Bombyx mori: one gene and its partners. The protein of the gene in region 2 purifies or fractionates together with the protein of the main gene of each other region. This does not show direct contact. Links are inferred from orthologs where the notes say so. Each region holds a gene or a part of one and is shown on either strand. Other genes may lie near its edges.

Region 1 (11,218 bases), on a different chromosome or scaffold from region 2:
CGCGCAGCGCCCGCACCACGCGCCGTCCGCGCGCACGGCCCGCAGCGTGAACGGGAACTCGTACCCCAGGCTGTCGTCGCTGCAACCGCACAGAGCCGTGAGTACTGGCCGCCGGAGCCGGGAAGCCGCGCGCGGGGACACACTCACCAGTCGGTGGCGTGGTTGAGGTCGGCGCTGGGCGGCCGCGCGGACAGCAGGCGCGCCACCTGCCTCCACACGGCGGCGTACAGCTGGCGGCCCGACTGGCCCGGCTCCACCGGCACCAGCAGCGGCACGCCGAACAGCGCGGGGCGGCTGCGCTGCGACGACAGGAAGTACGCGTCGGCGCGGCACTGCTTCCTGCAACACGCGCGCTCGCCGCTCAGTGCGCGGGGGGAGGGGCACACCCGCGCCCCGCCCCCAGTGCGCGGGGGGAGGGGCACACCCGCACCCCGCCCCCAGTGCGCGGAGGGAGGGGGACACCCGCGCCCCGCCCCGACACTCACCTGTGCACGGCCACCAGGTAGTTCGTCTGTTTGGGGACGAGCGACGGGCCTGCCGTCTCGCTCATCTTGTACATGTTGGAGGGAGACGAGCCAAACTTGACCTTGGCCAGTCTGGGGCTAGCCGGCTTCACGTTGAGCGACTTGACGCTGAGCGCGGGTGAGCTGTTTCCTCTGGTCATGTCTTTGGGCAGGGTCTGGCTGCGGAGTCGGTCCTGGTGGTGTTGCTTCTCGTAGAACGTCGTCGGCGGACTCTGCGACATGAGCATCTCCGACCGCGACCTCTGCAAGTACAGGTCGGCAGTAGTAGCGGGTAGCTCGCCCCGGCGCGCTCGTGCCGCAGTCCCCGGACTGCTCACGAGAGGAGCAGAGCCAGTTACGTGTATAAAGGTTCAATAACGCAAACTAAAACCTCAAGCTATTAAACAATAACAATCGACGCACGGGCGGCGCGCGGGGACCGGGAGCGATGATTCACAAGTCATTTCTAGTTGGATTCAGATAGCTTTTTCAGATTTGCCGAATCAATAAAAAAAGCATCGCTTTTAGTTCTGCAAGTTATCGCTGAATGACTTCAGTAGCGGCGCAACAAAATGCACTACACTTGTTAATGTGATATCGAACTGAACCGAGCCGCGGAGGGAGCATTTGAAGAATTGGAAAACAATGTTTGATCCAATGTTGAACGAAACATGACACGAGGCGGAAGGAACGTCTCAGTACAATCGGGTCCATCGCTCGAGCGCCACTCTCCCCCGCGGCTCCGCGGCGTCCCCTCCACGCACCGAACGTGCCTTCACTTGTTCAGCTGCGGCGGCCCCGCGGGACCGACTCAACACGACATAATACGCAACTCTAATAGCTACACGGTACCGCGCTGGTGTACGAGTGTGCGGCACGTGCGAGTGTGAGTGTGCGGCACGTGCGAGTGTGAGTGTGCGACACGGGCGTGTGTGCGTCATGTGCGAGTGTGAGCTAACCTTGAAGCAGAACAGTGCAGGCATGCAGAGTGAGGAAGGATTGGCGGCGCGGCCCACACTCACCTCCGCCCACTGGCTCGCCTCCTCGCACCAGCCTGCAACACGAGAGGGTGGGCTGTAGTGGCCGGGGCGAGGCTCGGGGCGCGGGGCGGGCGGGGGGCACTGACCGTCGGGCTGCAGCAGGTCGCGGGCGGCGGGGGGCTCGCGGGGGGGCGGCAGCTCGTAGGCGTGCAGGTCGGCGGCGCCGGCGGCCGTCAGCTTGTCGGCGTCGCGCAGCTCGCGGCCGATGGTGGCGCCGGACAGCTCCGCCAGCAGCAGCCTGCGACACGCGCGCTCGTGAGCCCGGGCCGCCGTGCGCGCACTGGGCCCGGCGCCGCCACGGTACTCACAGGTCCGGCGGGAGGCCGCACAGCTCCGACAGCTTCCTCTTGAGGTCCAGGTACGTCCCTTCCGAGTTGACTCTGACGCCGTACTTCACGGGGACCGATCCGTCTAGTAGTATCACTGTAATGTTTGATAATAATTTACAATTGTGCACTCGGCTCTCCTGGCGCTACGTTTGTTACGTTAGGAAATAACTTCCTTACGGAAGGGGCGGAGCTCCACAGGGGTCGGTCCTTGACCCTCTCTTGTGGAACATCGGCTATGATTGGGTCCTGCGGGGCGCTCTTAGCGCTTCTCTCCCGGGTCTGAGTGTAGTTTGTTACGCAGACGACACTTTGGTCCTGGCCCGGGGGAGGGACTTGTGCTAGTCTGTCCTCCGCGGGGGTGGCCCTCGTCATCGGCAGGATTCGAAGGCTGGGTCTGGAGGTTGCGTTCGATAAATCCCAGGCCCTGTTGTTTCACGGGGCCCGCCCGCACGTTTCAAAGCGCCGCCTCAGGGGGCCCACCTCTGATCGGGGACGTCCGCGTCGAGATCGAGGCGACCCGCTTGCGGTACCTCGGTCTCGTATTGGACGGTCGTTGGAGTTTCCGGGCTCACTTCGAAAGATTGGGTCTCTGACTGATGGCGGCCGCCGGCTCGCTGAGTCGGCTGTTGCCGAACGTTGGTGGTCCCGACATAGTGGTGCGGCGGCACTGTACGAGGCTCCCGTGTGGTGCCACGCCCTGACCCGCGACAACGTCGCGGCGTCGCACTGTCTCGTTCGAGGCGGCGTGCGTGCTCGCCGGGACGCCTCCCTGGGACCTGGAAGCGGAGGCGCTCGCTGCGGATTACGCGTGGCGATGTGATCTCCGCTCCAGGGGGGAGCCGCGTCCCGGCGCGGCGGAAGTTCGAGCGCGGAAGCTTCAATCTCGGCGTGCCGTGCTCGAGGCGTGGTCTCGCCGCCTGGCGGACCCCGCCTACCGGCGACGGACCGTCGAGGCGATCCGCCCGGTTCTCTCGGACTGGGTGAATCGCGACCGAGGACGTCTCACCTTCCGAGCGACGCAGGTGCTCACGGGACACGGCTGTTTCGGTCGCTACCTGCACCTCGTCGCCCGGAGGGAGCCGACGCCGAAGTGCCACTACTGCAGTGCAGGACACACACAGTGCAGAACACGGCGCGGCACACGCTCGCGCACTGCCCCCGAAGCGCCGCGTCCTCGTTGCAAATATAGGACCGGACTTGTCGCTGCCGACCGTCGTGGCTACGATGCTCGACAGCGAAAAGTCCAGGCAGGCGATGCTCGACTTCTGCGAGTTCACCATCTCGCAAGGAGACGGCGGAACGGGAGAGGGAGAGCTCTTCTTCCCTCTTGGCGCCGTGCCGCCGCCCCCGAGCCGGGAGTCGGAGGAGGGCATTCATCCAGCTCCGACCCTGTAAGGAGGTAGTCTCCTCCCGGTGATGGTCACGGGGCGATTTGAGGGGGTTGAGGCTGCGCCGCACGCTACCGTCACTCTAGCGCGCTGGCACCAGGAGGACGGGACGGCGCGTCGGCGGCTGAGGACTGCGATGCGGTCCGCATTGTCGTCGTCACTGTCGTCGCCGAACATACTGTGGAAGAGCAACCCGGTCGGTGGTGGATCGCATTCCGACCTGGCAGGCTGGTTCCGGCCCAACGGGGTATCCTGGAACATCAGCGGCATCGCCCGGACCTGGTAGGGGCGCCGTACCGCGGAGACCGGCGTCGTCGGTTGTCGACTATCGCCTCGACGACCCGTCGGTCGGGCGTCCTCGGGGTGGCGCCGCGTGTCTGGTTGTAGTGTTGACTGCGGGAACCCCCCTACTCTGACCGGGTTCTGACCCCAGACGGAGATCGGACGTCGGGTGTAAGAATGCAAGGGAGTCGTTTAATGCGGTAGGGCCCTAAAAATCCTTGGGCCCGCGGTCTGCTCCCAACATCTTCAGATCGTCAAACCCTATAACCCCGCGCGCCCTTTAGGCGCGGGCAACTCGTAGGAGGTGCAGCCCCCGGGCCGAAAAAAGAAAAAAACTAGATAACTTTCTTGCCGTTTGCTTGCATGCTTTGTTGTGGAGAAGCGGTGGGCGGCGGCATGGCTCTGCCCTTGCATCGCTACGACCATGAGTGACGGTAGCCAATCACCATCAGGTGGGCCGCATGCTCGTCTGTCTGGGTATAAAAAAAATGTTATGCAACGCAAAAGAAAAACATTTTCATATGTTTTTTTTTTGTAATTGCTTTAGTTTATGTTAGTTACAGCATCAGTGGTCCACTCGCAATGAGTGCAGAGTCCCCGGCCACGTGTGCCCGACCATGTTGAGAAGTTAAGTCCTTGTACCTTTGATCTCGCAGCGCAGGTAGGACTCCATGGGCAGCGGCAGGCTCAGCATGTTGAAGGCGTCGAAGCGGACGCTCTCGTGGCCGCACGTGTCGCAGCGCACCTTGGACTTCAGCTGCCCGTAGAACAGCTCCGTGATGATGGACTGGTTCCGCGCCGTGTGCGCCTCCCACGCCTCGGCCGCCACCACCTGAGCGCACAGTGCATACATAGTCCCCGCGCACGCCGCGGCGGGGCGGGGCGGGGGTGGGGGCGGGGGCGGGGCGCACCTGGTCGGGGCGGCCGGCGGAGTCCGCGGGGGCGGGCGCGGGCGCGGGGGGGCGCGCGCGGTTGAGGTCCTCGTGCAGCGCGTCCAGCAGCCACGCCAGCAGCTCCTGCGCGTCGTGCTGGCCGCCGCCCGCCAGCGCGCGCGCGTGCCGGGACACGCACCAGCGCACGCCCAGCGGCGCCACCGAGCGCGCGCTGCACGACCACACCTGCGCGCGCACCGCACTCGGGTTACAAGCATTACAATAAAGGGGACTGTTTAACATCAATTTCTCATCGTAATAAACACAGAGTATAATAACCGGCAAACTTCTTGAGCATTTGTTGACGTAGTGGGGGTAAGTTTGCGCATGGTACACTCACGTGCAAAAACATTATTTACTCTGCGTCATAATGCTATTAAATTATTAAAATCAACATATGTATTTTTTTATATATTTATTAGATCATCAACAAAAAATGTAGGTTAATAATTATAATAATTTAATCTTGGGGTAAAATAGATATTCCTTCTATTAAGTCAAAACTAGAGCTGTGGCCAGGTCTTGGTTCAGTTGAAGCGAAGCTGGTATTTGTATTTTTTTTTTCGTTATCATAATCTTGACCCATCATCATCATCACTGTTTTCATCACCCGAGTCGCTATCATCGTGATTAGTCGACATAGGGCTCATCGGTGTAGTTTACAACTCGGTCGATTCGGTCTTCTTTTTTGTCTATAATTAATTATTTTTTGAAGATATTCGATTCGTAGTAATCGAATGTTACTTTTTTCAATTACCAGCTTCCGATTATTTTCTGTTCTTTTTTTTCCATCTAAAGCCTAGCTCTTTCATAATACGTCGTAAGCTTCATTCCGAGCCATTAAAATTTATATCTTCTTTAAAATTTTCGAAGCCTTTCTACGGTACGGAGTTTCGCTGCTTGTTATGTAGTTATTATGATTACATCTTTTTATTACAGATTGAACGAAACTATCCATTCCGGTAACTTTCTTCTTTCCTGATCTTTTCTTACCCGGAGTCCGAAACACGGCGAGCAAGCCAGAGCCTTTAGCTTCCTTAATAATGCACCTAACAGTACTCACTGATGGTTTTGTTACTTCCGAAGTTTGTTTTAATTTTTCCATATTATTCTTCCCCTGTTTTATAATGAAGCAATATACGTCGTACACAATTTTTCTACCCTTTCTTTTGAATACTACACCGGTTTGTCGCGGCATAGTGTATGTTTATAAAAAATCAACAAACACTCAACAAATAGCAATGGCAACAAAGTCCACAAGTAATTATAACAAATAACTTAACGATTAATAACGATAGACTTTTCACTGTACGCAAGCGTACTTTTGGGAGCAAGCGGAACGAGGGCGCGGTGCGGGACGCAAGGTTCGACTGATCTACCAATAACGCGCTCGATACGATTTCCCCTGCCGTCGCGCCTCACCCTCACCACCAAAGTGATCTAAAATTCGGTTCTGCGCAGTCAAGGTCATTTGCTCAAGATGTTTGCCGGTTACTATAATTAGTTGAAGATTAGATGATTCGATTATCACATTCAATCGTTATTATTTTTATAGTAAGTAGGTGAATCGTTATATTTGCGCCGATATATAAGATGAAAGCTGTGCGGGAACTCCTCCACAGCTCAACACCCGGTACCTCCTTGCACAGCTCCCCGTAGCGCACGGCCAGCGCGCCGCCGGTGCCCAGCGGGTTGCCGGGGTTCACCTCGTACAGGTGCATGCCGGAGTTGAAGTAGCGCGTCAGCGGGCCCGTGTTCCACACCTGCGGACACACGGTGCCGGTGCATTACAGTACACTCCATGAGACACTGTGAGGCAACTGTCGCAGTGTGCAGCCGAGACTTCGACCTCACGCCTCGAGGCGGGTACGTTGACTGACCGACTGCAGCGCCGCGTTCATGAAGCAGGTGTTCCCCAGGTTGTGCAGGCCGGTGGCTCCCGGCAGGTTGGGGGCGATGAGGGTCTCGCGTCTCTCCGTCGCGCGGTTGGAGCTGGAACACAACAGACTCTCAGTGAATGTACGTTGGCGACTGAGTCGCGGGCGCGCTCCGCCGAGTCGCGTACCTGATGGCTCCGATCTCCTCCGGCCACGTGAGGTCCTTGTTCCGGAGCTCGAGCAGCAGCCGGGAGCGCTCGTCGAGGTGCAGCTCGTGCAGCGTGCGCTGCTCGTCGTCCAGCAGCACGCCCCCCGCGTGGCCCCCCGCCTGCGCGCCGGCAACGCCCCCCCCTTGCCCCCCCAGCAGCCACAGGCGCATGTCTTCTCGTGCCAGACCCAAGGCGCCGCATATAAACTCGCAAACCTACACACACCGGTACACAAGTTGATGAGGTAACGTCAGACTCGACACACGGGTGCATACAGCAAACAAAACAGAAGCAAGCGTGGTGTGCACCGACCTGGCGGATGGTGGCGAGGCGCGAGAAGGCGGCGGTGTAGGCGAGCTGGCGGTCCGGCACGCAGCCCGCCGAGCCTGCGACAAGGACGCACTACACTTGTCTACCGTTCCCACCTCTACCGCTCACCGGCCGACCGTCGACGTTCCTCCCTGATTGCTGTCGCATCTCTTTCTTCAAAAGAAGTTTGAGAAGCTACGAACCCGACTTTATCAACGTCCCCGGCGGACGGTAACCAGTTACCAAAAGAGCGGCCGTAAAGTCTTCCATCGTTGGCATTACAAAGGCATGTGTAGTTAGTAGTGTAGTGGCGGCGGGTGCGTACCGTGCGTGCCGAGCGCGGCAGGCACGTGCCGCATGATCTTGAGCTGCAGCGGGTACAGCTCCAGCTCCACGTCAGAGTTCGGAGGCCTTATCACCTGGAACGCAGACCTCCAGCTTATTCACTGTGCTTCATCTGTATCACTGAATCACTATAGTAGAATTATTTTGTCCGTGCAGTTCGGGTCTTAAAACATAGCCCGGCTAGAGCGGTGGGGCATGTTGTGCGGGCGCAACGGCATTATCGATAAAAATAAATGAGTCATCGAAGGCAGGTACACGGCGGCGGGGTGGCATACGTAGGGTGGTGAGACATTGTTATGTTATGAGTAATTTGTTGAACCTACCTGCAAATTATAGTACATATATCAAAGAGAAATGCGATTTTGTGCATTCGCTCTCTGAATTTCTTTAGTGACACAATGGCTACTCCTTTGTTTTGTACCAAAACGGCAAAATGTATTCAAATATTTTGCTTGTTGGCAAAAATATACCAGCACAAGCATGTGTTATTATCAACAATGTGTTAAAATTTTTCACTGAAATGAGAATAAATCCCGAAAAGTTACAAAGTGTTCATTTCTGCCGTTCTCTTTAACTTGCTGCGGCGATATGTGACGTAAGTGTTGGATTAGTGATTTTTTTCTTTCATTATTATCACTAACCCACAAAATGACAAAACTAAATACACTATCGATAACGCTTATCGACAACAATAATGCGTATCACTATGCCCGTTCATAAGGCTCGTGAGTGGAAGAGAGAGCGAAATATTCGCTGCACCGCTCCGATTTTTTACGAACCCAAGCTGCACGGACAAAATAATTCTATTATATACTACTTCAAACTACAGCTCTCATAGTTTACATTATTAACGGTTACTGTAACAGGAAGTCCCCGACACAGTGCCTTGTGACCCCCTGGAACTATACCAAGAGATTCTCGGCCATAAAACAATTATTCTACACAATTATTAATTGAAAAATAAAGGTTTTTTTTAAATTGTTTGTTAACATCGATCAAAAAGTCCGCAGTATACGCGGCTCCGGGTCCGGGCACCGCCAGCTCTGTAGCCGAAAGCCCCGATATGTTCTTTCTTAATTAGAAATTAACGCAGCAGAGCTCGACTTTGAAGCCGTCGTGGGCTGCGGGTCCGCAGGGGTAGTGTGCAATACGAACTAAACAAATGTTTACGATTGACCTCCACAATAATGGAATAACATTGTGTATTAAAAGTTATACCGAAAATTATAATTTGCATAACTACTGGTGCTAGGACGTTTTGTGGGCCCGCACGGGTAGGTACCACCGCCCTGCCTGTTTCTGTCGTGAAGCAGCAGTGCAGTTCAGTTTGAAGGGCGAGGCAGCCGCGCTATACTAGGCAGCTGGGAACCCAGACCTCATGTTTCAAAGTGGGCGAGACATTCAGGTATTGATATCTGCGCGCTCCAGTAATCACTTAACACCAAATGTGTCGTGAGCTCGGTCACCCGTACACGTAATAAATAAATAAAGAAAAGCAAAGGGATGATTGTTGATAAAGCAAACCTGTCTGGGCAGAGGGTCGGGTCCTCCGTACCAGAGCGCCAGGGCCCTCCACAGCGCGTCCGGCACCAGCTCAAAGTCGCGGTGCTGCGCCAGCGTCACGTCGCGCCGCAGGTGGCCGCCCTCGCCTGTTAGCGTACGGACCTGTTCAATGTTTTATATTTTTTGTATTTTACAAGCAAATAAATCCGTGAGCTCTCCTCCGAGAGGGAGTGTCGTGGGTCGCGGGCCCCGGCGCGGGACGGACCTTGAGCGTGTTGTCCGCCAGCAGGCGCTTGTTCCGCACGGAGCCGGGGTGCCGGCGCGGCGACGCGGCGCTGCTGACGCCGCTGCTGGAGCCCGCGCTGTCCACGGAGGCCGTCTCGCAGCGCCACAGCAGCGAGCCCATGGACTCCGTGGAGTTGGTCATGAAGCTGTCGTCGGCCAGCGTCGCGGGCCGGCAGCACGCGTCCGCCGCGTCCCCCGTGTAGGCCAGCCACGCGCCCCACCACTCGGCCGCCACCAGGTACCAGAACTGTCCCACGCTGTACCCCCGCGCCACCGAGCGACGCAGCCAGCCCAGCACTGCAATCAGCGCACACGTCGCCGTTAGGAGGCGATGCAACAAGCGGGAGGGGAGGGGGAGGGGCAACGCGTACTGACCGATGTCCCTCTCGCTGTGTCGGCAGTGCGGCCGCAGCCCCAGCACGATGTGGCACACCTGGTAGACGAGGTCGAGGAAGGGCGTCACGACTCCGTGGGCGCTCTCCACCGACCAGATGAGGAAGTCCTCCAGCGTCAGCACCGTCTCCGGAAGCAGCACGTCTCCATCGGCCTTGCTCTCCGGCTATAAAGTTAGTAACGAGCGTCTCAGGTCGCGACCGGAATTTGTTGAAACTTCTTTGGATCTAGACTCTTTCGACTGTACACCGATGTCTCTCTCATCCGATTCGTGCTCAATAAGTACAATTTCAACACGTTTTAATACCTTGGTTTTAATGGAACATAGAAAAATAAGTATATGTGGTTGTCTGGCTAAGTCTCAGTAACAAGTTGCAACAAGTGCCTGGAAAAAAATATTTCAAGGAGTCTCGAGGTACCCCGGAAGAGAATTTAATTCTTCAAAATATGTGTCACCACTTTTAAAGTGTGGAGCAGGCTTCACATGTGGCCGGGCTCCGCGTCCAGCTACTGTCCGGGGTGGCGACCACTTATCACATGTCGCCTGTTCTGTGCCTCCATCACTCTATCGTTGTATTGTACCAATGAATAGAACTGACCACATTAATGATATCTTCAGTATCTCCGTGGGGTCCGAGGTGGAAGTTCGGTTTCCGTCCGTTCTTGGGTGCGACGACCAGCTTGTCCCTCAAGTTGGCGAGGATCACGTCCGGGTCGAAGTTCTGGATCCCCATCTCGCTCCCATCGGGCGTGGAGGATCTGGACCCCTGGTTCTTGAGGTTCTCGTTGGCCACCTCGCACAGGACACTCACCATATCGATGAGTTCTTTTTTATTCAAGAGTCCATCGCTGTCCAGATCGAAGATCTTGAAGCAAACTATAGACAAAACGAGCTCACTTGAACATGTGCCACGTGGAGCCGCGCGCCCGCGGACTGTCTCCCTGCGCGTGACGTCACAAGGACGGGGAAACGTTTGGGGGGACAGTAAAGCAACACAAATAAGAATAAAAATTGTACAATTAATGTCATTGTTACGCTGATGCATTGTTATTTAATATTTATCTACGTAACGATATAATTATTTACAAAAAAATTGTAATCAATTTTTAGTTTTGAATTGTTTTTATTATTATTTTATTGCTTAGATATGTGGACGAGCTCACAGCCCACCTGGTTGTTAAGTGGTTACTGGAGCCCAAAGACATATACAAAGTAAATGGGCCACCCACATTGAGATATAAGTTGTAAGGTCTCAGTATAGGTACAACGGCTGCCCCACCTTTCAAACCGAAATGCATTACTGCTTCACGGCAGAAATAGGCAGGGCGGTGGTACCTACCCGTGCGGACTCACAAGAGGTCCTACCACCAGTAATTACGCAAATTATAATTTTGCGGGTTTGATTTTTATTACACGATGTTATTCCTTCACCGTGGAAGTCAATCGTGAACATTAAATTTGTTAAGTACGTATTCCATTAGAAAAATTGGTACCCGCGTGTGGTATTCGAACACCGGTGCATCGCTAGATACGAATACACCGGACGTCTTATCCTTTGGGCCACGACGATTTTTTAAAATGTACTAGAGGTCCCGCAGTAGTTGAAATTCGACTGTAATTAATTGGAATTGTAAGTTTGTACACTATTATGATTGTATTTTATACTTCTATAATCACAAATTTCGCCAAGACTACACTATAAAAAATATTAACAAAGACAAACCATATTCTATTCCCAATTTGACCACAGACGTCAAGAACAAAAGTTTGACAATAAATACCTAGTATGCATGCGTGTGTGCGTCAAATACATGGTATGTAG
Region 2 (11,793 bases):
AATATTTTACAAGTAAATGACGAATGTGACTTATCGTCAGTGCCCGCAGTGGCGCATAATGTTGTTGTCGAGCATGACGATTCTACTGTAGATACCGATTACTCCGGACATCAAACATCTGTAAATCGCAAACGTGCATCTCGCAGAATTTGTAGACACTGCAATAGGAAAAGGAGCAAGTGTGACTCGAAAGGCAACACCGTCTGCCAGTGCCAATGTGAGGAAAGTGGTCCTAATAAAGCCTTAAAGATTAATAGCTCTGTTCATGATCCAGTGTCTACTAATATATTTCCTAATCATCCGACTCAAATGGAAAGTAATGATGTCACTCCTAGATTTATAGGAAGACATAAATATTGTGACTCGGATGCTGCCCCTTACGTCATTCATATTCAAAAACAAATACAGGCATCTAATGACAATACCATTTTGCACCCAATTTCTTTTGGCAAATTTTTGAAAAATTATTCTATTAAAAATATTGTTAATGGTAGTCTTAAGAGAATTGGTAGAAACAGGCTATCACTAACATTTGAAAATTTTAATGCGGCTAACAATTTCATGGATTTAGATATTTTAGAGAAGAATAAATATAGAGCATTCATTCCTACCTTTCAAGTTACTCGCATGGGTATCGTTAGAAATATTCCTACAGAATGGTCTGAAGAAGAAATAATTAATAATATCAGTGTTCCGTTAGGTTGCGGAAAAATCCTAAAAATTAGGAGATTAAGAAGAAAAATCACTGTAAATGATAATAAAACTTTTATTGACACAGAATCCGTGGTAATAACATTTGATGGACAGGTTTTACCTAAAAGAGTATATATGTGTTTTACATCATTACCAGTTGATTTATACATTTATCCTACAGTTCAATGTTTTAATTGCTGTAGATTCGGTCATGTTAGAGCTCAGTGTAGATCGAAACCGCGTTGTTTTAAATGTGGTCAAGATCATACAGGAGATTCTTGTAATGTAGAGGAGGAAAATGTTTCCTGTTGTCTTTGTAACGGCTTACACTTTGCTATAAATAAGAAATGTCCAGAATTTGAAAGACAAAGGGCCATAAAGCAGACAATGGCGAACAGTTGTGTGTCATACTTGGAAGCATGTAAACTTCATCCTCCAGTGTATAAATCGTATGCTGATGTTCTTTCTTCAATTCCATCGGATCGTAAGAATCATTCAACGTTTCATGAATCTACTGCCCCCAGCCCAGTAATTGCCAGTAAAAGTCCATCGTCATATAAAAAAACAGTTTTTATGAAACCTCGATCTCCCTTTAAAGGTGATAAAGGTTTTGATCAAAGGGCCCATAGAAATCTTACAAGAGATTACGATGCTCCATCTCCTTCTAATGGCTGTGCTTTAAAATTTAATGAAAATTCCGAATCTCCTGTGGCTGAAATAATTATTGCTCTTATTAATTTACTTGCTCCTAATAACGCTACACCGTCCAACGCAGCTGATATCATAAGACAAATTTTAAACAAAACATACAATGGCTCCACAAATAAAAAAGATGATTCAGTGGAACTGTCGAAGTATTCTAAGTAAAAAGTCTGATCTCATTCACTTAATAAATAAACACTCTCCAATCATAGTTTCTTTACAGGAAACATGGTTGAAAAGTATATATCCTTTCAAAATCAAAGGATATACCTGTATCCGTGAAGATCGTATTGACGGGTACAGTGGTGTTGCTCTTCTTGTAAATAGTGTTCTTAGCTTTAAACTTGTAGATATACCTGATCATAGTTTTGGTTTATCCATTATTGCGGTCATTGTAAATAATATATGTATAGTTAGTCTATATATTCCCCACCCTTCTGTAGAGATTTACAAAGAGTTTATAACTATTATTTTGAATCTTCCTAGACCAATCATAATAATGGGTGATTTTAATGCTCACCATCAAACATGGGGAAGCTCAATATCTAATGAATTTGGAGATATAATTCTTGATTTTGTTAATGAACAGAATTTGTGTATTTTAAATTCTGGAAGTCCAACTCGTAGAACTGGTCCTGATCAAATTGTTAGTGCTCCTGATATATCTATTTCCTCCCCATCTCTGGTGCCGTCTTTGTCCTGGAAAACATTAAAATTAAGTTATGGAAGTGACCACTATCCTATTATTATTTCATTTTCACACAATAACATAGTAATTAAGGATCATTCTAAACATAAGTCTACAATAAAGTACAACCTATCTCAAGTAACAGATGAGGATTGGAAAACGTTTCAATCGCGTTTGGATATTAAACTTGCCAACTGTGAAAATATTAATAACTTAGATTCTGATGCACAAGCAAAAATTTTAGCTTCTGCTTTTATAGAAACAGCTGATGAAGTTTTCCCTTCTAAAAGCCCTTCTGGTATTTTTATTCCTTCTCCTCCTTGGTGGGACCGGGAGTGCACTCAGGCGGTAAAGGAGAGAAAAGCAGCCGAATTATTATATTTAGAAGAAACTATTACAGAAAATTTTGATATTCTAACAGAAAGAATCAATAGTACTCGGAATCTTTTATTAAAAAAGAAACGAGAAGGTTTTAAAAAATTTTGTGCTTCGATTTGTCCTAATATCTCACCTTCTGAAGTATGGAACCAAATAAGAAGATTTAGATCTGCATATAAAGAAAATACAGTCAAAGACTTGCCTTATGATCTGGCTGACAAGTTTCTTGATAAATTAGCTCCCCCTTATGTTCCAGAAGAATGTTTAGTTCTTATCCCGTCTGTCCTTCCTTTCTCATGTTCAGATCCAGTTTCAGATTTTGATTTACCTTTTTCATTTAATGAACTGAAGGGGGTAATCTCGAATCTTAAGGACTCTGCTCCAGGTGATGATAAGATTCCTTATTCTTTCTTTGTCCATTTGAGTGATTCTAGTCTCACATATTACCTCAACCTTATAAATTCTATGTTCATTACATGTGTTATCCCAGAGTCATGGAAAAAACAAATTATTTTACCCATTCTCAAACCGGGTAAATCTTCATCAGATGTATTGTCATACAGACCCATAGCTCTCTCATCTGTAATGTTGAAAATTTTAGAACATTTAATTAAAATTAGACTAGAATGGTTTGTGGAAAGTAACAGTTTACTCAGTGACAGTCAAAACGGATTTAGAAGGGGTAAAAGCACAATGGACAATCTTGCTATCTTTATAGTGGATATTTTGGTAGCTTTCTCAAACTCTGAATCTATTGTAGCTGGATTTCTGGATATTTCCGCTGCATATGATAATGTACATATTCCTACACTGCTTTACAAATTACAGAAAATAAGGGTTCCTGTTAGACTTGCTAACTTGATTATTACTATAATGTCAAATCGAACTATCATTTTAAACTCTACCTCTTCAGATTCACAACAATCTAGAACTTTATGGAGAGGTCTTCCTCAAGGATCTGTGTTAAGTCCAATTTTATACAATATATACACTTGTGATTTGGAAGAGACCCTTGGAAATCAAGTAAGAATTCTTCAATATGCTGATGACCTCCTTATGTACACTTGCAATAAAGACATACATAAAGCTTGCTTATCCCTTAGGAATTCATTTCTAACTCTTAAATCTTGGTTAGATAATAATGGACTTTCCCTTTCTGCCTCCAAAAGTTCTATTGTTGTATTCTCTAGAAAACGTTCTCTTCCTCCAATTAGTATATTGTATGAGAATGAATTAATTTCTGTAAATAGTCATGTTAAATTTTTAGGTTTAATTTTAGATTCAAAATTGAATGGAATTCAACATTGTAATTACATTACAAACAAGTGTTTGAGTAATATGAATATCTTACGTTCTCTTGCCGGTGTATGGTGGGGTGCCCACCCATTCAATTTAAAACTTTTATATAATGCCATAGTAAGATCAGTTTTAGATTATGGTACTTTTTTACTTCAACCAGGGGATGTGAATGCTTTCAAAAAACTAGACACTATACAGTCTAAGTCACTCAGAATTATCACTGGAGCCATGAAATCTAGTCCTGTTACAGCATTACAGGTAGAATGTGTTGATCCTCCTCTTCATTTGAGACGTCAATATTTATCTGATAAATTCGTTTTCAAATCCCTACAAATTCAAAATAATCACATTATTACCAAACTTAAAACTTTAAATGAACTCATAGAATACTCTTCATTTTGGAAACATAAACAGTTACCATGTTTAATAATTAGCTACAGAAAATATTTGTCTATTCAAACTCCAACTAATCACTCTCATATTTTCCCTCTATTTTGTGTAAACTATATGGCATTGATTTTAAAACCGGATATTCATCTTGACATGGGTATTTCTAAGTATCAACCCCAACCAAATACTAACTTTAATTTTGTAATAGACCAAGACTGGAATGACTATAACCATATATATACAGATGCTTCCAAACACCCTCAAGGTTGTGTTGGTGTAGGAGTCTACCATTCGCAATCAAAAATAGTTGAAAAGATAAAATTACCATCTGAAACATCAGTGTTCACTGGTGAATGTTTTGGAATATACAAGGCCATAGAATACATTTTGATATTCAAACTAAAGAAAACTTTAATACTAACCGATTCAAAGAGTTCTTTACAGGCTCTTGCAAAATTTCCTTTTAAATCTCAACCGATTTACCCTATTCTCTTAGACTGTAGAAACCTGTTAATGAAATGTATGGATCAAAATCTTACAGTATCATTTGTATGGATACCTAGCCATTGCGGAATTAAAGGAAATGAAATAGTTGATAGAATTGCAAACGAGGCTATCAATTGTGGTGATATTTATTATTTCAAAAATTATAGTCATGATTTAGTTAGCCTTCCTAAAACATATTTGAATAATGCTTGGAGTGCACAGTGGTATAATGGCGTTAAAGCAAAATATTATCGAAGGGTACAACCAACCATTCCTTCCAAACCATGGTTCTACAAATATAATTTTAAACGCCACGAGACTTCCAGTTTGATACGGATGAGATTAGGCCACACGTGTAGTCCGGCACATCTAGCGACGATCGGAGTGCTGGATAGCAGTAAGTGTGAGTGCGGTGCGGACATTGGCGATTTAAATCACATTATTCTTTCATGTCCCCTTTTTGATCATTCACTTCTTTATAGTTCTTTATCATCACTTAGTATTCCTTTTCCTATATCTGTACCTTATTTATTACATACAGTAGACCCAGTTATTTATAAAATTATTATCTTATTCCTCAACAGTTTTAACCTAAAATTATAATTATATATATTATTTATTCTTCCTAATTATATTAATCCTAATCCAATTTTCCTGCCTAAACCTTATCTAACTTATATTTTCTGATTTGATTTTTGCTTCCTAACCTTTATTTTGAAAGTGGCAAATAACACTTGGTGTTGGGTCCAAAAAGAAAAAAAAAAAAAAAAAAAGTAGGTATGTACCTACCTACCAAGGAATAAAGTATAAAGTAATAGGTGCCAACAGACATTGCAATAAATGTATTCATAATTTCAGTTGCGGTTTGCAACGTACCACGTATTCTATTTTCATAAAGTTCGCTACCAATTAGACTAGGCTTTGGTGGTTTATATGATCACATTAAAATTCAAAACGCTTTTATCTTCGTAGTTCACAGTTCAAATTAATATTTACAAAAGTTGAAAGTTTCTTTGGTTTTATTGCAGTGCACCTACGTAGCCCCGTACTAGGTTTGTGTTTCATTAATTACTATCTATCGCCCAAAAATTGTAGAGCTTAATTCTTAATTTTATATTATGACAACTTTATGGTCAACTTAAATGAATAGTTAATGGTAAAGTTTTCTGATTAACCAAATCGCTTAATGCATTTTTCACATTTCGCGTATGTAGTCACCTACGTCTTTCATAAGCAAAATTGTAATCGTGATGAAAACAATATGCATTTTTATCACGAACATAATTATTTAATTAGAAATGTTTTGTTATCAATAATGATATTGAACGTTTTGTGACGTTTCCAATTAGAGTATTTCATTGAAAATTTTGATTTAATTGTAATCTTCCTTATTTTTTCACCAAAACTAATTTTGGCTTGCATTTGGTTACATTGGCAAGTTGTTTCATAATGGATTGTTATGTAAGTTGCTACCAATAATTTACACTTTACATCCACAATGATACTTTCACTTTAGAAAAGTAGTTGGCCCTGATACAGTTTGCCACTCATGACATACAGTGTAGTACTTTCTAAACAGAACACCTAAAACTAAAATTTAAGGTGAAATATCTTTCAATTAGTTTTCTCAGTACTTTCATTGTTGTATAATAGACTTGCGCAAAACATCATTTCCCAATGTAATGTGATATGACATCACTTTTACAGACAGGTGATATCACTCTTAACATTACTCGGTGCGTTAAATAGATACTGTGACGAAAACATTGTATCTATACACCCGAATCATTACCAAAGTGATGTGCTCATACTTTGTATTGTAATACACTATTATATGACTTGACTTACTTAATAATATAATAATTTTCTTTTTTACTTATAATTTATTGTGGGATGAACGGATTTCATATGGCGACTTAGACTGCAAATTGAGCTCAACAATAATGTAAATATACGAGAGCAGTAGACGCCATTCTTTCTTTCATTTATTAAACACGCATTAATTAATATAAAATATTACTAAACAATTAAGAGCGACTAGCGATTTTACAAAAGTTACGAATAAAAAATTAAGTAACTACTTGCGGGGAACTACCGGCTGGCCACATGAAAAATATAAACATAAATACCTATATTAAAATTCAGACGTACCATAGGTATAAAAATGTACCTAGCGACCAGGGCATACGGTTCAAAATCACTAGGAATAATTCCGTGTCGCTTGCTCATGTATTTTGCGTAGTGCTGTAGCACTGCACGTCAAGCCATCGCGTTGCAGCGTCGATCGGTCTGTCTCGCTCGCTCGGTTCCCTTCATATAATAAGCAACATTACACGACAAAGAAAGGAACATGTTGGGTGATAGTGTGATGTTTGTTTCCTTCGCGTAATGTGTGATGTTGCATTACATCGTAGAGTCATATTACCGGAGTAATATCACTCGCGTTACTTACACATGTCTATTGTATAATTTATCAAAATCTAACTTATTTTTTAACTTGTTCTAATTATGTTAAAAAAGATGTAACGGAATTATATCAGAAACTGAAATGTTGTTCTTGTAAATTGTTAAATTAAATATTAAAACTTATCACTTTTGTTAATTCATATTGCTTTGACTCTCATTCTAAAGCAAAGGCTGGTGTATATAAAGGCTTAGCTGATTTTTTAGTTAAAATGGTATGTTTCAAAAAAATTGAAGACAATTTTGTTCAATTATCAATTAATAAAGACTACAAATATTTCTGTAATAAAAGCAATGATTGACTGGACATAAAAAACTAAAAGCTAATAAATTTCCACTGATAAACAACTGCATTGTTCTGAGTAAGAATAATTACAATAAATGAATAGATAGCAGTGGACAAATAATAAAGTAATCTCAAGTGCACTATTTAATAATGATTATTATCAAAGGTTGTAAGTAACAATGGTTATGCTTATCTTGTACTGTTTTCAAACAAGCTCTGCTTTAATGATTTTCATAACAACACTACTTAATACAATATTGATATAAACTTTATTCATCAATATTTACTTTTTCATTATTTGTCTTCCTTTGAGCGGCGTTTCAATTGAATTATATAGTCTCACTGTTAAGTCTACAAATATTTCTGTCTGTCTATCAACATTTAAACCTAGTACTTTTCTGAAATTCATTTCAAACCTTTATTCCAGATGGACGAACATCATGAACACCACAATATGGATATGGGCCATGCTGGGCATGAACACCATGGGATTGATCATTCAAGACATATAGGCCACCAAATGCCTATTAATGTGAGTTAAAAGTAAATAATATAAATGATACATGATACTTTAAAAGTATGGAATCCATTGATATCAAGTGGACTATTCAACATCGTAAAGTATAGGAAAACAGCTGAGAGGAAAAAAGCACAGATGTCATTATGTTTTTTTTATCAAATAGAAAAAGTTTAAAAAATAATTGAAATAAATAAATAATTGATTACTTATTTCATTGATTTTATTCAAACAATTAAATTTGCTGCTAGTAGGCTTAGATCTTATTTGTTTTTTTTAATAAATAATTATTGAGTATGCATCAAACTTCAAATAAAAATGTATCATGCTTGTTCAAACTGCAAGATACATGGTTTATTTGTTCCGTTTTTTTACCTGCTATTATACTAACTAGGTTTTTTGAATAAAGCCTTAATTTGGATGGGTAGGCACTTAGGCCGTTATCTGCAACTGATCACAAGAATTCAATTACTATGTTTATTTTAGTGAATAATTTTAAGATGAAATGAAAACTGTGTCAAACAAATTGTAATTATTTCAGGGACTTCTTAATTCATCATATAACAGAATTGTGCACAACACAGATATGAATGATCACAATGTCCACACTTTTTCAGGCCATGGTGATCACAGTAGCCACAATATGGGCATGTCCATGACGGTAAGCAAGATATCTCCTAATGTTTCTAAAACATGTTTCCTTGTTGAATTGTTTTTTAAAGGGATTTTATGACCTGGTAACTGAGACCTTTAAGTCATGTCTTATTTTAATTTATATTCATATTTTTTATGAAAAATGATATTATGGAGTGAAATGAAATGAAGATGATTAATTTGAGACACTAATCAGCTGGGATGAAATTAAATGAAATGAAATGAGATGATATAGGATGAAATATAATCTCAGTAAAATGGTGGTCATTTACCTACTAAGATTTTTTCAGTGGACTTTTTGGAGGATCCCGAGAAGTTACGTCCAGAGGCTTTGTTTCATTTTCCCACATTGGTGCACTTTCACAGATATTAAACAGTTAATAAACCACCATTATTACACATTTAAACCTGAAGAAACACTAAATAGACAAAACAAAACAAATTACACAACTTCACTCCTCGCGTTCCCGCCAAAAAGTCCTTTCCTTGTTGAATATGCATTTTTGAGTAGATTAGCATGCTGTCTTTATCTATGTAGAGAGTAAGTTTAGAATAGCAGCACCCCATTTCTTTGTGGTTGTCAAAAAAGAGACTGAGGCTTATAGGAGATGGCCAGCAGCTTTTTCTGAGTATTATACCAACGGATTGTGATCGCCAACCGGCATTTAGTAGGAACTAGGTAGCTTGAAGTCATCATGGCCATAGGATAAGACGGTACATTCGTATCGAGCGATACGACTGGGTCGGTGCTGTTTCTGCCGTGAAGCATAATGCGTTTCGGTTTGAAGGATGGAGCCTCTGTTGTACTGAAAAAACAGACTTAAGCTCACATATCAAGATAGGGCTGCATTAACATAGTTCATGTCTATGGTATTCAGTGACCATTTAACAACAGGTGGTCCGTGAGCTTGTCCACGTGTCCATTTCTATGCAATAAAATAAAGAAAATTTTCTCCTGGTCAACATTACTTAAAATTTTCAACATAAATTTTATTTCATTTTTAGTTTCACGGTGGCTACATTGAAACTATTCTCTTCTCTTGGTGGAACGTAACAGAAGTTGGTGAATTTGTGGGATCATTTTTTGCAATATTTATTATAGCTTTGCTCTATGAAGGGTGAGATATGTTTATAAAATGCAGTAAACAATAATAAAAACAAAAACACGAGCCTCATTTCTGAGTTTTTATGCTGAAATGTTACGTTTTTGTGTTGCAGCCTTAAATATTATAGAAAGCATTTACTATGGAAGACATATGCAGGACTACAGTATTGTGCCGTAGCACCACCAGACAAGGGAGTTGCCAATATTTGTGCAGCAGATGAACCACAAATTGTACAGTAAGTATAATCAAATTGAAAAAAATTAATCAAAACCTAAAAAGATTTTAAACCTTTCCAAAGGTAATGTCTTGCTTAATTGTACATATCTAATGATCTTTATCTGTTTTCGAACATTCTTAAAGTATAAGGTCATGTCGTAATATGGTGAAAATAAATCTAAAATATGTTACCAACATGTCAACTCAGTACTCATTTTATATTCAAATTATTTTAAAAACCCAACCTCTCAAACTTATGTGAACAAACACAGTTGTACACACACTGACTAGCACACGCAGTACACTTCCTTATTTTTAGTTATCTTTAGTGTGTTAACATAATGGTCTCTCAACTTTAATAGAATCACATAGTTGATCGGCGATTCGTCGGATGCGTGTATCAAAGGGTTAAGGAGAACGAGGGAATTCAGGAAATAAATTTCTACCCCTTCTGTAATAGGTGGGCTTCGGATAGCCTGCCGATCGAGAGGGCTGGTGGTCGTGGCGCCGACGACCACCGGCCCGGCGTCCCGAGGGGGAGGGTGATGGGAGAGATGTGCTCCGCACTAAACACTTCACTTTACCCCCTTTGCCTATTCATGAGTTCTCTCATGCGAGGCTTGGACGTGGGTTTTTGAACGACAGCAGGTTTTAGTCAGTTAGACTCCGGCATGTCCCACCGTCCATCCTCAGTGGAGGGCGGAAGTCCGGCGATTTCCTCCTAACCCAAAAACAAAAAAAAAAGAAACAATGCGATACCATGGTAATTGGCTTTCTTCTGGTTACTAAACCTTAACGTTCAGAGCATTTTAATGCGGTCCCCGCTCAGCTACGTGGGATCTATAGTGTTGGGAAGAAGTGAAACGCAAATATCCGATGTAAGCAAATTAACGTTTTTGTCAAAAAAGAAAGTATGTAAATCGCAAGATCACACGTAAGACTTAATCTAATAATATAGGTAGATTAATATTTTTACAAAAGTATCCAAAATTTTACATCACATCATAGATTAGATAAGAACATTTTAAGGCTATGTTCCGATATACACTGCCAGCACTGGTAGATGCTCTTAATAGAGAGAAATTCGTTCCGGTATGGACTGACAGTATAGTCGCAGTATTTTAGGGAAATCTATGACGTCATAAATCGTCGCCATTGTTCTACTGTGAACACAGGTGTTTCCGAAGCAAGGTGCTCTCAATGCTTTGATCACGTGATCACTTTTAACCCCATTTCAATAATTCGGTTATTAAGACATTACATTCTACATTAAATTGTTTAAAAAACTATATTTTATTTTATTAAAAAGTATACTTACTTTTATTAAGCGATTAATTCAGCTGACAATATCTTAAACACCTATTTCTAAATATAACCAAATTTAAACAATATTTTTTTGTGAAAGTGAAAAACATCGCCAAAAAACGTCGATGACAGAATACTATACTGCATTACACTACGTTAATTTTTAAAACGGAAATGTAACCGGTATAGCTAACTATAAAGGAACGGCTTCGCACTTCGCAGTAATAAATTAACGTCACACCTTTAGTGCTCGCAGTGCAAATCGGAACATAGCGAATATAAACAAACCAAACTATAAACTATATAACTCTACTCTCAATCGCGGTTTTTTTTTTAAAGTTGTGCACTGATGTTTACTGTCCCATAAATTAGCCTTTCCATAGGTAAAATTAAATTAAAAAACACTAAGCATGCTACTATAGATAGTGTTGTTATCTAATTGTAATTTTTTTTTTTTTATCGCCAGAGATTATTCGCTACTCGTTTCTTCTGTCTCTGTGTATCATTAATTACTTATTTTTTGTTTTAGGCCAATTCCTCATATGCTTGAAAGAAATGTGTAAGTACCAATCTGTATTGTGGATGAATAAATCGATTGTATTAGTAAAGG
Region 3 (10,796 bases), on a different chromosome or scaffold from region 2:
GCTAACGTTTCGTAAAATATGATTTTTCAAACCGAAGAGAGAAAATAGGAAATATAAAGTCATAATGATGTAGGAACTTGAAAGGAAACTATTACGATGTACATTCAAGATTTGGTTAAGTGCAGGGATAAGATCAAGAAAGTGGATCAGCCATGACTAATATTGTTAATAGCCAAACGAATTTACCCGTAGCGATATACATATTAGAAACATTTCTTAAAAATCTGACTCGAGTAAATATTGTCAAATGTATGGAACTTCTCTTTGATGTTGTCTCTCTTTCTTTCTCACTCTCTCTTGTTACATCTTGTAAGCAAACGTCTCACTTATGCAGCCGATGGAGGACTCTAATCAAAGGCGGATAGGACACGCTGCGGGGTCTGTCACCGGACACAAAATTGGTATGCAATGGTGTATGTATATAAATTTATATATCCGGAAATTCAATACGTAAATCAAGAATTCAATAAATTATATTAAAATAGTTTAATGACCTCGCTTCGTAATATGATGCTCTTTCGTGAATATCCTTCAGTGAAGACGTACATACATATTTTAATGTCTTCGCAATAGCAGCCCTAACCTTTATTCTCTGTACCTACCTATGTTTTATTGTTGTCAACTTTACAAGTGTCCATCGGGTGTTTGTGATCATGAAATCGCCACCAATCTGTTTTACTATGATTAAATCTTATTTTATTCTCATGACTTACAAATTACTAGGTAGCTTAATTTTTTTTAGGTATATTTATATAATATCCATGTCCGAACAAAATATACAGAAAAAATTATTTTAAATATTCATGTTTAGGTAGCTGACGACAAATGCGACGCTTGAAAACCATTTTAATGGCAAAACAATATAAACAATTCACTAGTTTAAATATTTTTAATGCACCACAGCAAAGATATTATTACGTGATGAACAATTCATTATTAATTTTACAATTTCTCAATTAATTTTAAATTATAATCAATCAATCATCTTGAGATGCTTCCACGTCTTTATTTAGATCAATCATATATTATTTATTTAACATTTTATTCAAATAATAATAATATAATTACGATGATAAATCGTCGGCCACTGGCTCGGCTTAACCTCGTTCCATAAACAATAGATATTATATTATTATAACCCAGCCAATTTAAGAATAATATAAATTCTAAAAACAAAACTTGTACTTTAAATTCTTCAAATCAAAGTCATTTTTTGTTTTTGTTTTATGAATCACACTGATATTATATTTATTTTGAAGCGTTATATATATCCTCCTGTTATTTTCTATTCGCTTAGGATATTTTGAAAACGGGACCGATCCTAACACAATCCAATCTTTGCAGAAGCACCTTAAGAGTAAACTGCTTAGAACTAATATTAACTTCAGTCTTACAGCTAAACTGAGGTCTTTCCAGGGGTGTGTATCCAGGGGGGATACGATGAGCCAAATGGCGTTGTCAAAAACAACATGTATTTCTCAATGTAGAATAGAACACCAGCCCACTGAGTTTCTCGTCGAATCTTCTTAGTGGATCGCGATTTCGATCCGGTGGTAGATTCTGTGAAGCACTGCTCTTGTAAGGGGTTAGTGTTAGCAACGTCGTCAGGTTAGAGCTCCGTGAGCTCACCTACTAATTTCGTAGAATCTATAGTATAACCCCTCGAAGTTACCAGAATACGTAGGAAAAAAAACCAACAAGCTAGTGATCTACAATAACGAAAGAAATTGGATTTTCTTAAAACCCTCAATTCTGAGTAAACATACCAAGTTACAATCTATTCGGAAAACTTTATAACTCTCGTGATCACGTCTGTCTGCTTAGTAGGTGGAAAGTGTTCCATTCTACGACTAGTGAAAACCTCATAACGGAAAATGGCATTAAAATATGGACATTATATGGTTATTTGTTAAATGGTCATGTTTGCCGTTTTGATGCTATTGAAACTTTTCTCCGTATACGTATAAAGCATATCGTAAACAAGGTCCAGTCGTTAGATCATGATCATCATCCTCATCTACAAAGTTTCGCGTATAGTCCCCCCCCCCCTTTTGGTCACGGTCATTACGCACCTTAGAAAAGACCTGAGTTTAACTGCAGCCACGTAATGAATATGCTATGCATGTTACGTAAGTGATAATAATATATTAATAAAGTTTATGACTAAATGATCGTATATATACAATAACAGCAGAACGCTGGTGGCTAAATAATGTACAAAAATCGAAGCTGCTTTCAAATGACGTAAATATCTATTTTACATGATATTATACTTTCTATATCGAGATGTCTTCAAAACGCTGCTACCAGTTTTGCTATTTATTTATTATAATAAAAAGCAATTAATAATCCCTTGTGTATATTAACGAACATAAGTTTTTTGTACGTAGTATTTTTTGCAAATTCATTTTTGTTGTAGCAAACGTTAAAGGAACAGTCCGAATTTTTTTAATATAGTCTACACATTATTGGTCATTAAAAAAAAAAGGTATTACATATACGACACATCGAAAACAAATTATAAACTAAACCTACGGAATTGTTTTGTGTTCTTACTTAGTGTCAATCCTTCTACATGATGGATTGCGAATAATTCTGTATTTTCTATTGTGTATCACAATTCACATTACAACTGTATATTAGAAAATAGTACAAAACATGTCATTATTTATTTTAATCCACGTATATTTATTTATTTTAAAAGACATTTACGTTTTTCAAAAGCAACGATATCATCTCGAAGCTGTGTTTAGTTGTGGAACAAAACGATCAAGATTATTGACACCACAATGATCAATATTATCGCCAAGTAGACTTTCTTCTTCCTCAGTTTGTTCTGGAAAAAAAAGTTAATACACGTAAACAACAAAAACGTACCACAAGTTTTCAATAATTAATATTTTTATCTTTATTGATATATAGTATTCTCGCATTAAAGCTGTATAATATCAAAACTTACTAATTTTACAGGAGAGTGTTTTAAAGGTCTATAACATGTGATATTTTTAATATTAATCATCTTTGCAACATTTTTTTATTTTATTTTTTACCAGCTACACTATGTGTCTTTTAAAGTAAGATAAAATTATGTATTAATTTTGTTAATAGTAGTCAAAACATAGGTAAAGTAAAAAAAAAAAAAAAACTAAAATACGCTCTTTGGACAGTATTTATGAGAAAAATACTGGTCATACCAAATGATTCCGCATATTAACTCAATTTCGAATATTTTTGGAAATTGTACTTTTAATGCGAAAAGACTATATTTCTTCTATGCGTGTGTTTGTCACTGAACTCCTCCTCCTAAACGGCTGGACCGATTTGAATAATTTTTTTGTATGCGCTTGGGTGGCGCCCTGGATGGTTTAGATTCACAAATCAGCCCGGTAGATGGCGCTGCAGTCGGTATCTAGACTATTTATCTATATTACAACTAAATGGCTGGACCGACTTAAATGATTGTTTCAGGACAACGTCTGTCGGGTCCGCTAGTCTATATATATATAAAAATCAATAGCTGTTCGTTAGTCTCGCTAAAACTAGAGAAATTTGTGGAAGTCCAGAGAAGTTTTAAAAGGTAGATAAATATGAAAATGCTCGGAATTAAATTAAAAAAAAAAAACAATTTATTTTATACAAAAGTTTAGGTCTTTTATTTATCGGTTGAGGCACTACGAAGTCTGCCGAGTCAGCTAGTATTATAATACATATGTCTGATGTATGTTTTTCTTTTTGTGTAATGTAGGTTACTGTTAAAATAAAGTATTAATATAATATTTACTTTGTAATTCCCAGCCTCCCGGAGTTGCTGTGTGGCGCTCTCGACGTTCTGTGCCGTGTATTCAACACTAGACTCGATGGAGTCCACAACTTCGCCTTGAGCGTGTATCATTGTACTCAGCTCTTTGAAGATGTCGTTAACGGTTAGTATGTCACTCTAAAACAAACGGTCAGATTTGATATTCCTTAAATACAATTACTTTAACTAGTGGCCGCCCAGTAGTCGAAATTCGACTATAATTATTAATTTAAATCAGGGGTTACCAAACTTATTTTGTCTACTGCCCACTTTGAGAATAAATTATTTTTAGCGCCCCCATTTTTTCAACTACTTCAAAACCACTATAGCGAGAGCTCAGCCGGTGTCTAAGAGTCTTCCTAGATGAAATTACAAATCGCCTCCCAAGCCTCTACACAACGCCCCCATTTTTTTCTGGGTCTCTTACCGCCCCCCTTTAGGCCTGCAACGCCCACAAAGCGGCGTTATCGCCCATTTTGGGAAAAGCTAATTTAAATTATAAGTTTTAACATTATGATGGTTCTATTGTCAATGAACTTTACTTCTATAACCACAGATTTCGCCAAGGGTACCTACACTATAAATAAGTAGTATGTATTAAAGACAAACAATATTAATCTATTCTCCATTTGACATTAATATAAGACATTACAGGCATTCATTTTAGAATTCAAATTCATTAAATTAATTTTTTGTTTTATTTAAAAAAAAACCTCTTTTTATCATGATCGATACTGGGCGAATAATAAAATTTAATAGATATGATTATGATATTTCTTTTGGAGTTTAGTTAAATTATGAAATATATATACCTCAAGTTGCCGAATATCTCTTTCGCGTTCCTCCAATTCGACGAGAGAACGTTCAGCTTGCATATTCATTTGCTCCTGCTTACGGACATCTGTCTCGGTCATCTCTACCAAATCTTTGTTACTGTCTACACAAACAACATCATAATTATGTAAATAGGTCAAATTTTCCGTATGTTGAAATTCTATGATTTTTTTTTATTGCTTAGATGGGTGGACGAGCTCACAGCCCACCTGGTGTTAAGGTTACTGGAGCCCATAGACATCTACAACGTAAATGCGCCACCCACCGCGAGATATAAGTTCTAAGGTCTCAAGTATAGTTACAACGGCTGCCCCACACTTCAAGCCGAAACGCATTACTGCTTCACGGCAGAAATAGGCAGGGTGGTGGTGCCTACCCGCGCGGACACACAAGAGGTCCTACCACCAGTAAAAGATGTCCTACCACCAGTAAATTTAATTCGTTATTAATTCAAATTTTTAGGAGACCATTTCCGAAGAGAAAACTAAAATTTTCTAATAGCCTGATGTACTGCTGGTCTAATCCAAACGCTATTTCAGGTCACACGTGGACTTGATTTGTAGACGAATAATAGACTACAGACTATTTGCAAAAGATCCCAGGAGTCGAAGCATAAGATTATTAATTACTGAACTATTGCACAAACATACTTGTTTACACACACACACACGCATACACACACTCGTTTTTGTTAGATTTATATTTCGTGTTCGTTCCCTCTAGAAAGTTGACCCCGAGCCTTAGTTATTTTGAATTGTATTAAATTGCGAGCAATACAAAAAAAAGGAATGGTGAAATTTAATTTCTCAAACGTGACTTATTCTTTCATGTCGTGCTAGGGATCGCCAGTTCTACTACTACCTCTGTCTGATGGAACAGTTCACGTTGTATTGTAATCTCTTTTCTATTTTGTAATAGATATATGACTTTTACTTTTTAGTACATACTTTTTTTACTTTAGTACTTTTAGTACTTTTTAGTAATGTGAGAAAAAGTTTATACTTACTCCCCATAGCGAAAGGATCCCCAATATTTATAGACTGAGCCTTTGCTTTTTTCACATCTTCTTTTGTCTTTTGCGCAACGAGTCGTTGTGTTGCCTGAAAAAATAAATAAAAAATATATTTTCTAGTCTAAAAAATAAAGATTGTACATATAATAGAATGTTACAAATACCAGCAAGTACACATTCCCATATTATAATATGTTTGGACTTAATAAAGGGTTGCTATACAGTTATGCTAATGAAAAAAATACTGCAGGACAAATAAATTCAAAACAAATTTATATTATGTTTTAGACGATTAGATTAAAATAAATAGTAAAAGAATTTTTTTAACCATAAAATTCAATGAATAACAAACTCTTGACTGTGCACTATTTTAGAGACGCGTCTAGCCGTTTTATATATTATCATTTGTAATAGATAGATAGATAATATATTATTATTTGGCGATACATAATGTTTGTAAATTATTGAATATTAATATTAATTTAATTTTTTAATTTTACTCCTAACGTTTGCGTAAACATTAAAACTTCTGAATTTCTGAAAAATACGAAATTCTGCATCACTCATCGCTAAGATTACTTATAGACAGAACTGGCCAATTACCTAATGCTTATAATTTTATCTTCTCATTTTCTTAAGAAATACTTGAATGAACTAGTCTTCCAAGCTATTACTATTTTACTCCCTATTACCTACTTAACATGAGTTATACTTTGTTTTCTTTTTTAATATACAATTTTTTTGTATACTATTATGCGCTATTTAACTTTCTATATCCCTATGTATGCTTAAATCTTTAAAGCTACGCGACGGATTTTGATGCGGTTTTTTAGATAATAATAAACAAATAAACAGAGTGATTGAAGAGGAATGTTTATATGTATAACTAGCTTCGCCCCGCGGTGTCACCCGCGATACGACAATAACCGCGGGTAACATCGCGGGACTCGGCTATCAATAATAAAATTTAATGTTTCCGAAGCGAAGTGAGGGCGGGTTAGTTAACAATATATTAATGTCACAATAACGATATTTAATAAATTAAGCACACACCTGGAAACTATTAAGAGTGGCAATATACTCATCACTGAGTCGTTCTCTGGTAAGTTTGTTGGCAGCGTTATCTTTAGGCATTCTCATCAACTCCATTAACAAAGAGGAAGTGTCCTTTGCCAGCTTCTGAGTGTAATTTTGTATTTGGCGTCTGTCATGAAAAAGTTATTCTTAAGTTAAGATATGTTTAGAAAACAATATGCTAAATCTCTATCAAGTATATTGCAGTTATAATTTCTAAGCTGATGATACTGCTTAATGTGAAATAAACAAGGCAAATTAATATGCCAATGTTTTTAATTAAATTAAACACAAAAGAAATAAAATGCAGAGTATGAAAGTAAAACTTACAACTGAGCCCTAAGCTCTTGGGAGTCTTGAGGTGTTTGTAACTGATTGACCATCTTTGACATTGAGGATACTGAAAAGAATTATGGTTCTGGGATGAGTACAACAAAATATTGATTAACATCTCCTAATTGTTAATTAAAAATGTAGTAGGTGGTATAATGTTACAACTTAATGGTTGCATCCTACTGTATTAACCAGTGATACTTTCATTTTTAATTATGATCCATCAATATAATTGATAAGTTTACAGTTTAGGTGCAAGGGTATTTCGATAATACTGCTTACTTTGAAACTTATGTAACAATACCCCAAGTACTTTTACCATTGGATAGTATCATCAGATCCTTTGGTAAATTCCAATATAGATCAGATATTATTGAATGATTTCTATGATTATTTTTATTGTATAGAGAGATAAAGAAACTCAAAACCCACCTAATATTTAATGATTACCATATTATTATCCCACACACTTCACTCGAGACTTGAGGTATATCTAAATTAAATATTGAAGGAATATTGTGAGCTTGCATGGGTAGGTGCTACCCTCTTGCTTATTTCTGCCAGTTAAACTTATGTGTTACAGTATGGAAAGGTTGAACAGCCATTGTGCAATACAATTGAGATGTGAACCTAATGATTCAAAGTGGATGACAGCATTCATATTGCTCAATAGGTTTCAGTAACAGCTTTGTAAGTTCATTCACCAACTTAAATAAAAAAGAGCATGTACAACCATGAAGAAATACAATCTAGGTATAAATGAAAATCAGAAAAAAAAGGGTTAATTACTAATGATACATTATAATGAGTTCCTATTTCTGCCACAATTTAATCCTGTTTGAAGGGTTAACTTTTATACAATATAATTGAGAGATCCACACTATGCCCTATTGTGAATGGTGGCATTCCTTTGGATTTCTGGGCTCATCTACCTATGAATAATGTATTTTATGGATAATGTATTTAAACGATTGCCTTTGTTTACTAGATAGTAGAAATATAATCTATACTAATATTATAAAGAGGAAAGATTGGTTTGTTTGTTTGTTTCGAATAGGCTCCGAAACTACTGGACCGATTTGAAAAATTATTTTTCCATTAGAAGCCGACATTGTCCCTGATGAACATAGGCTACTTTTTTAATTTTTTTTTTTTTTTTAGGTTTCATGTGTGTTTTAATGTTTCCGAAGCGAAGCGAGGGCGGGTCGCTAGTATTATATAAAATAATAGTTCAGATTTCAGGGAACATTTTTAGTTTTGAAAATTACTGAAAAACTTAAAGCTTAGCAAATTTTAATTTTAAATTTTAATGTTTCTTATCATTATTATAATCATTTCAATTAACAGAGCCATCATATTAACAGTCCTGATAAGCACTAATGAAGTTCAACTACATAAAAACATGATTTATGTACAAGGAAAATGTACAACAGTAATTATATAGGTAGTAAGTGAAAAGTTTTAGCTATTTTTCTCATTTGCTTTTTCCTTATACAATCAATTTATTTCATTTTCTAATGTATGTATACGTATATTATATATACTACTAAATTAAGAATTGTGAAATACGATATACTTCTTAGGATTAAAATATAAATAAAATTTAATTTGTAATGTTATTCTAAAGCCAATTTATTGTTAATTAAATTTCACATTGCAAAATAGCACATTCTAGCAAGTTTTTATGGGTTTTGTTTATTTGTGGAGACCACTGTAATATTGTTTCTAGTTCTTTACTACTACGTCTACAACTAAAGTAGTTATATTATATTATATATTATATTATGTACATGAGTATTAAAAGAGTAATTTCCCAAAGTCATTGCCATAATTCATATTAACAATTTCGAAAAATCCATGTTAGAACTATTTCAAACTGTTAAAGAGTACTTTAAAAGAGACCTTAATTTATTTATGGAAGTAAACTAAATATACAGAGCTTAAAATGAATCTATATATTGGTAGCTTAGGAAGTTACATAAAAGAGAAAGCCTTTGCTACCACAACACACAGGACAAACGCCTTCGATTTGATGAGAATCCGATCAAACCCTCCCACTCATATCCTCACACATAAAAACCAATAACAGCCGCCAAACGGATAATCCAACCAAATTATGAAAACCAAACAAAAGAAATAACACAATTTCCTGCAAGCCACAAGTCCTTGCAGGAGAAAAGGAGCACAATCCTCCAACCACATAAGAAAACAATTGCAAAATTTTTAAAACAATTACACAAGATCAAAAGAGATCAGTATAAAGTAGGTTGGAGGAGGCCTTTGCCAACAGCCTATGGATTTACAGAAAGTAAAGAAGCACCAAATATGTGAATAATTTTAATTGTGTTAAATACATAAAAGTGCAGTAGTATAAGAAAGATAATTGTAAATCTGTTGTCTGAACAAAAGGCTTTATTATTTTATATATTGAAATTTATTAAAAGTACTTATGTTAGTTATTAATTATTTAAGATTCTTCATAAATAACTGAATGACAAAATGCAAAAAACCCATAGACACAGCCCACTGAGTTTCTCGCTGGATCTTCTCAGTGGGTCGCGTTTCCGATCCGGTGGTAGATTCTGCGAAGCACTGCTCTTGCTAGGGTCAGTGTTAGCAACTCTCCGGTTGAGCCCCGCGAGCTCACCTACAAACGTTAGGGTGAAGCTGAAATAGCCTCTCAAGGCTATCAGCATAGGTAGAAAAAAAAATGCATAAAGAATTGTTCAAATCAAACTGGCATATGCTGTGCTCTAACATAAGACTTCAAATGCTTTGGTATAAACATAACTATCAAAATGCATTTTTAATGATGAATTTTGTAAATACTAAAATACTATTCTGTTTTTCTTTTTTATTTGATAAGTACACCTCAGTAAATTCCTTTCATTCAAAAATTCTTGCTCACATATTGGCTATTTTCAAGAGGCCTCTCTTTGTGATTTCACCACTGTTCTTTTGTTTAACGTTTTGTATCTTTATTTATTTTATATGATTGGTACACATGTGCATGTGTTATTTTATTTTTATTATTACATATAGCTACATACATAACAATTATGTATGTAGTAAAAGTTCAGATATTGGTGTACAATAAAGCATACTTTACTTTTGATGTAGACTGATTTTTTCTTTGCATATGTTTAAGGACAAACATTATCCTAATTTTAATATATTTTATCTAACTTCATAAAACTTTTTTCTTAATATTTATATTTGTTTACTTACAAATAGCAACTACAGTCAAAATCTGTTATAACGACATCGAAGGGACTGCTCATATTAAGTCGTAAAAACCGATAGTCGTAACAACCGGTGATGTATATAATGTGTATCGTGAAAGTACAAACAAATCGATAGGGAATTATTGGAAAAATATATTTACATAATACGCGATTTTTCTTCAATATTAATTTGTTTTCTTTTTCTTTGCGACATTTTGAAAGTTTCACGAATAACTCCACAAAGTTTTGGTGCGTCTTGTGTATAGATAAGTAACAAACTAACTGAAGCGATATGAAGAAGCGGGCTTTGACTCTACTGCATGCACGTGTTTTGTTTCTAAGAATTAGAAAAGACCCTACACTAAACTAAATCCTATTGTTTTCTTTCCTGATTTTAATAGCCATTGAAGACAAATGTGGATACCTATTCAAATTGTTTACAATACAGCTTAGTCGGTCGTTCTAACAGATCTAATTCTCCGAAATATTAGTTAAATGTGGTCGTTTTATGAGGTATGTC

Evidence for each region.
Region 1: the proteins of high-affinity copper uptake protein 1 (region 2) and ubiquitin carboxyl-terminal hydrolase 32 purify together in Homo sapiens (co-immunoprecipitation; 3 studies listed by BioGRID and IntAct, with this or other methods). This does not show direct contact. The link is inferred for Bombyx mori from reciprocal best matches to the Homo sapiens genes SLC31A1 and USP32.
Region 3: the proteins of high-affinity copper uptake protein 1 (region 2) and syntaxin-7 purify together in Homo sapiens (affinity purification with mass spectrometry; 3 studies listed by BioGRID and IntAct, counting the BioPlex papers as one, with this or other methods). This does not show direct contact. The link is inferred for Bombyx mori from reciprocal best matches to the Homo sapiens genes SLC31A1 and STX7.

The regions. Positions count from the first base shown.
Region 1 is NC_085122.1:14,148,425-14,159,642, forward strand, and holds part of ubiquitin carboxyl-terminal hydrolase 32, read right to left. Parts: intron 10,273-11,218; coding exon 9,995-10,272; intron 9,562-9,994; coding exon 9,378-9,561; intron 9,300-9,377; coding exon 8,983-9,299; intron 8,880-8,982; coding exon 8,739-8,879; intron 7,289-8,738; coding exon 7,195-7,288; intron 6,947-7,194; coding exon 6,873-6,946; intron 6,776-6,872; coding exon 6,540-6,775; intron 6,467-6,539; coding exon 6,355-6,466; intron 6,238-6,354; coding exon 6,112-6,237; intron 4,661-6,111; coding exon 4,454-4,660; intron 4,375-4,453; coding exon 4,185-4,374; intron 1,967-4,184; coding exon 1,852-1,966; intron 1,782-1,851; coding exon 1,630-1,781; intron 1,558-1,629; coding exon 1,463-1,557; intron 767-1,462; coding exon 486-766; intron 340-485; coding exon 148-339; intron 80-147; coding exon 1-79. UniProt on the Homo sapiens protein: Deubiquitinase that can remove conjugated ubiquitin from target proteins, such as RAB7A and LAMTOR1.
Region 2 is NC_085121.1:6,776,092-6,787,884, reverse strand, and holds the start of high-affinity copper uptake protein 1, read left to right. Parts: upstream 1-5,704; 5' UTR 5,705-6,085; coding exon 6,086-6,097; intron 6,098-6,351; exon of another isoform or gene 6,352-7,311; coding exon of another isoform or gene 7,312-7,314; intron 7,315-7,812; coding exon 7,813-7,917; intron 7,918-8,443; coding exon 8,444-8,563; intron 8,564-9,561; coding exon 9,562-9,674; intron 9,675-9,774; coding exon 9,775-9,897; intron 9,898-11,712; coding exon 11,713-11,742; intron 11,743-11,793.
Region 3 is NC_085107.1:5,741,972-5,752,767, reverse strand, and holds the end of syntaxin-7, read right to left. Parts: intron 7,120-10,796; coding exon 7,050-7,119; intron 6,850-7,049; coding exon 6,699-6,849; intron 5,734-6,698; coding exon 5,640-5,733; intron 4,737-5,639; coding exon 4,612-4,736; intron 3,938-4,611; coding exon 3,689-3,937; 3' UTR 3,627-3,688; downstream 1-3,626. UniProt on the Homo sapiens protein: May be involved in protein trafficking from the plasma membrane to the early endosome (EE) as well as in homotypic fusion of endocytic organelles. Mediates the endocytic trafficking from early endosomes to late endosomes and lysosomes.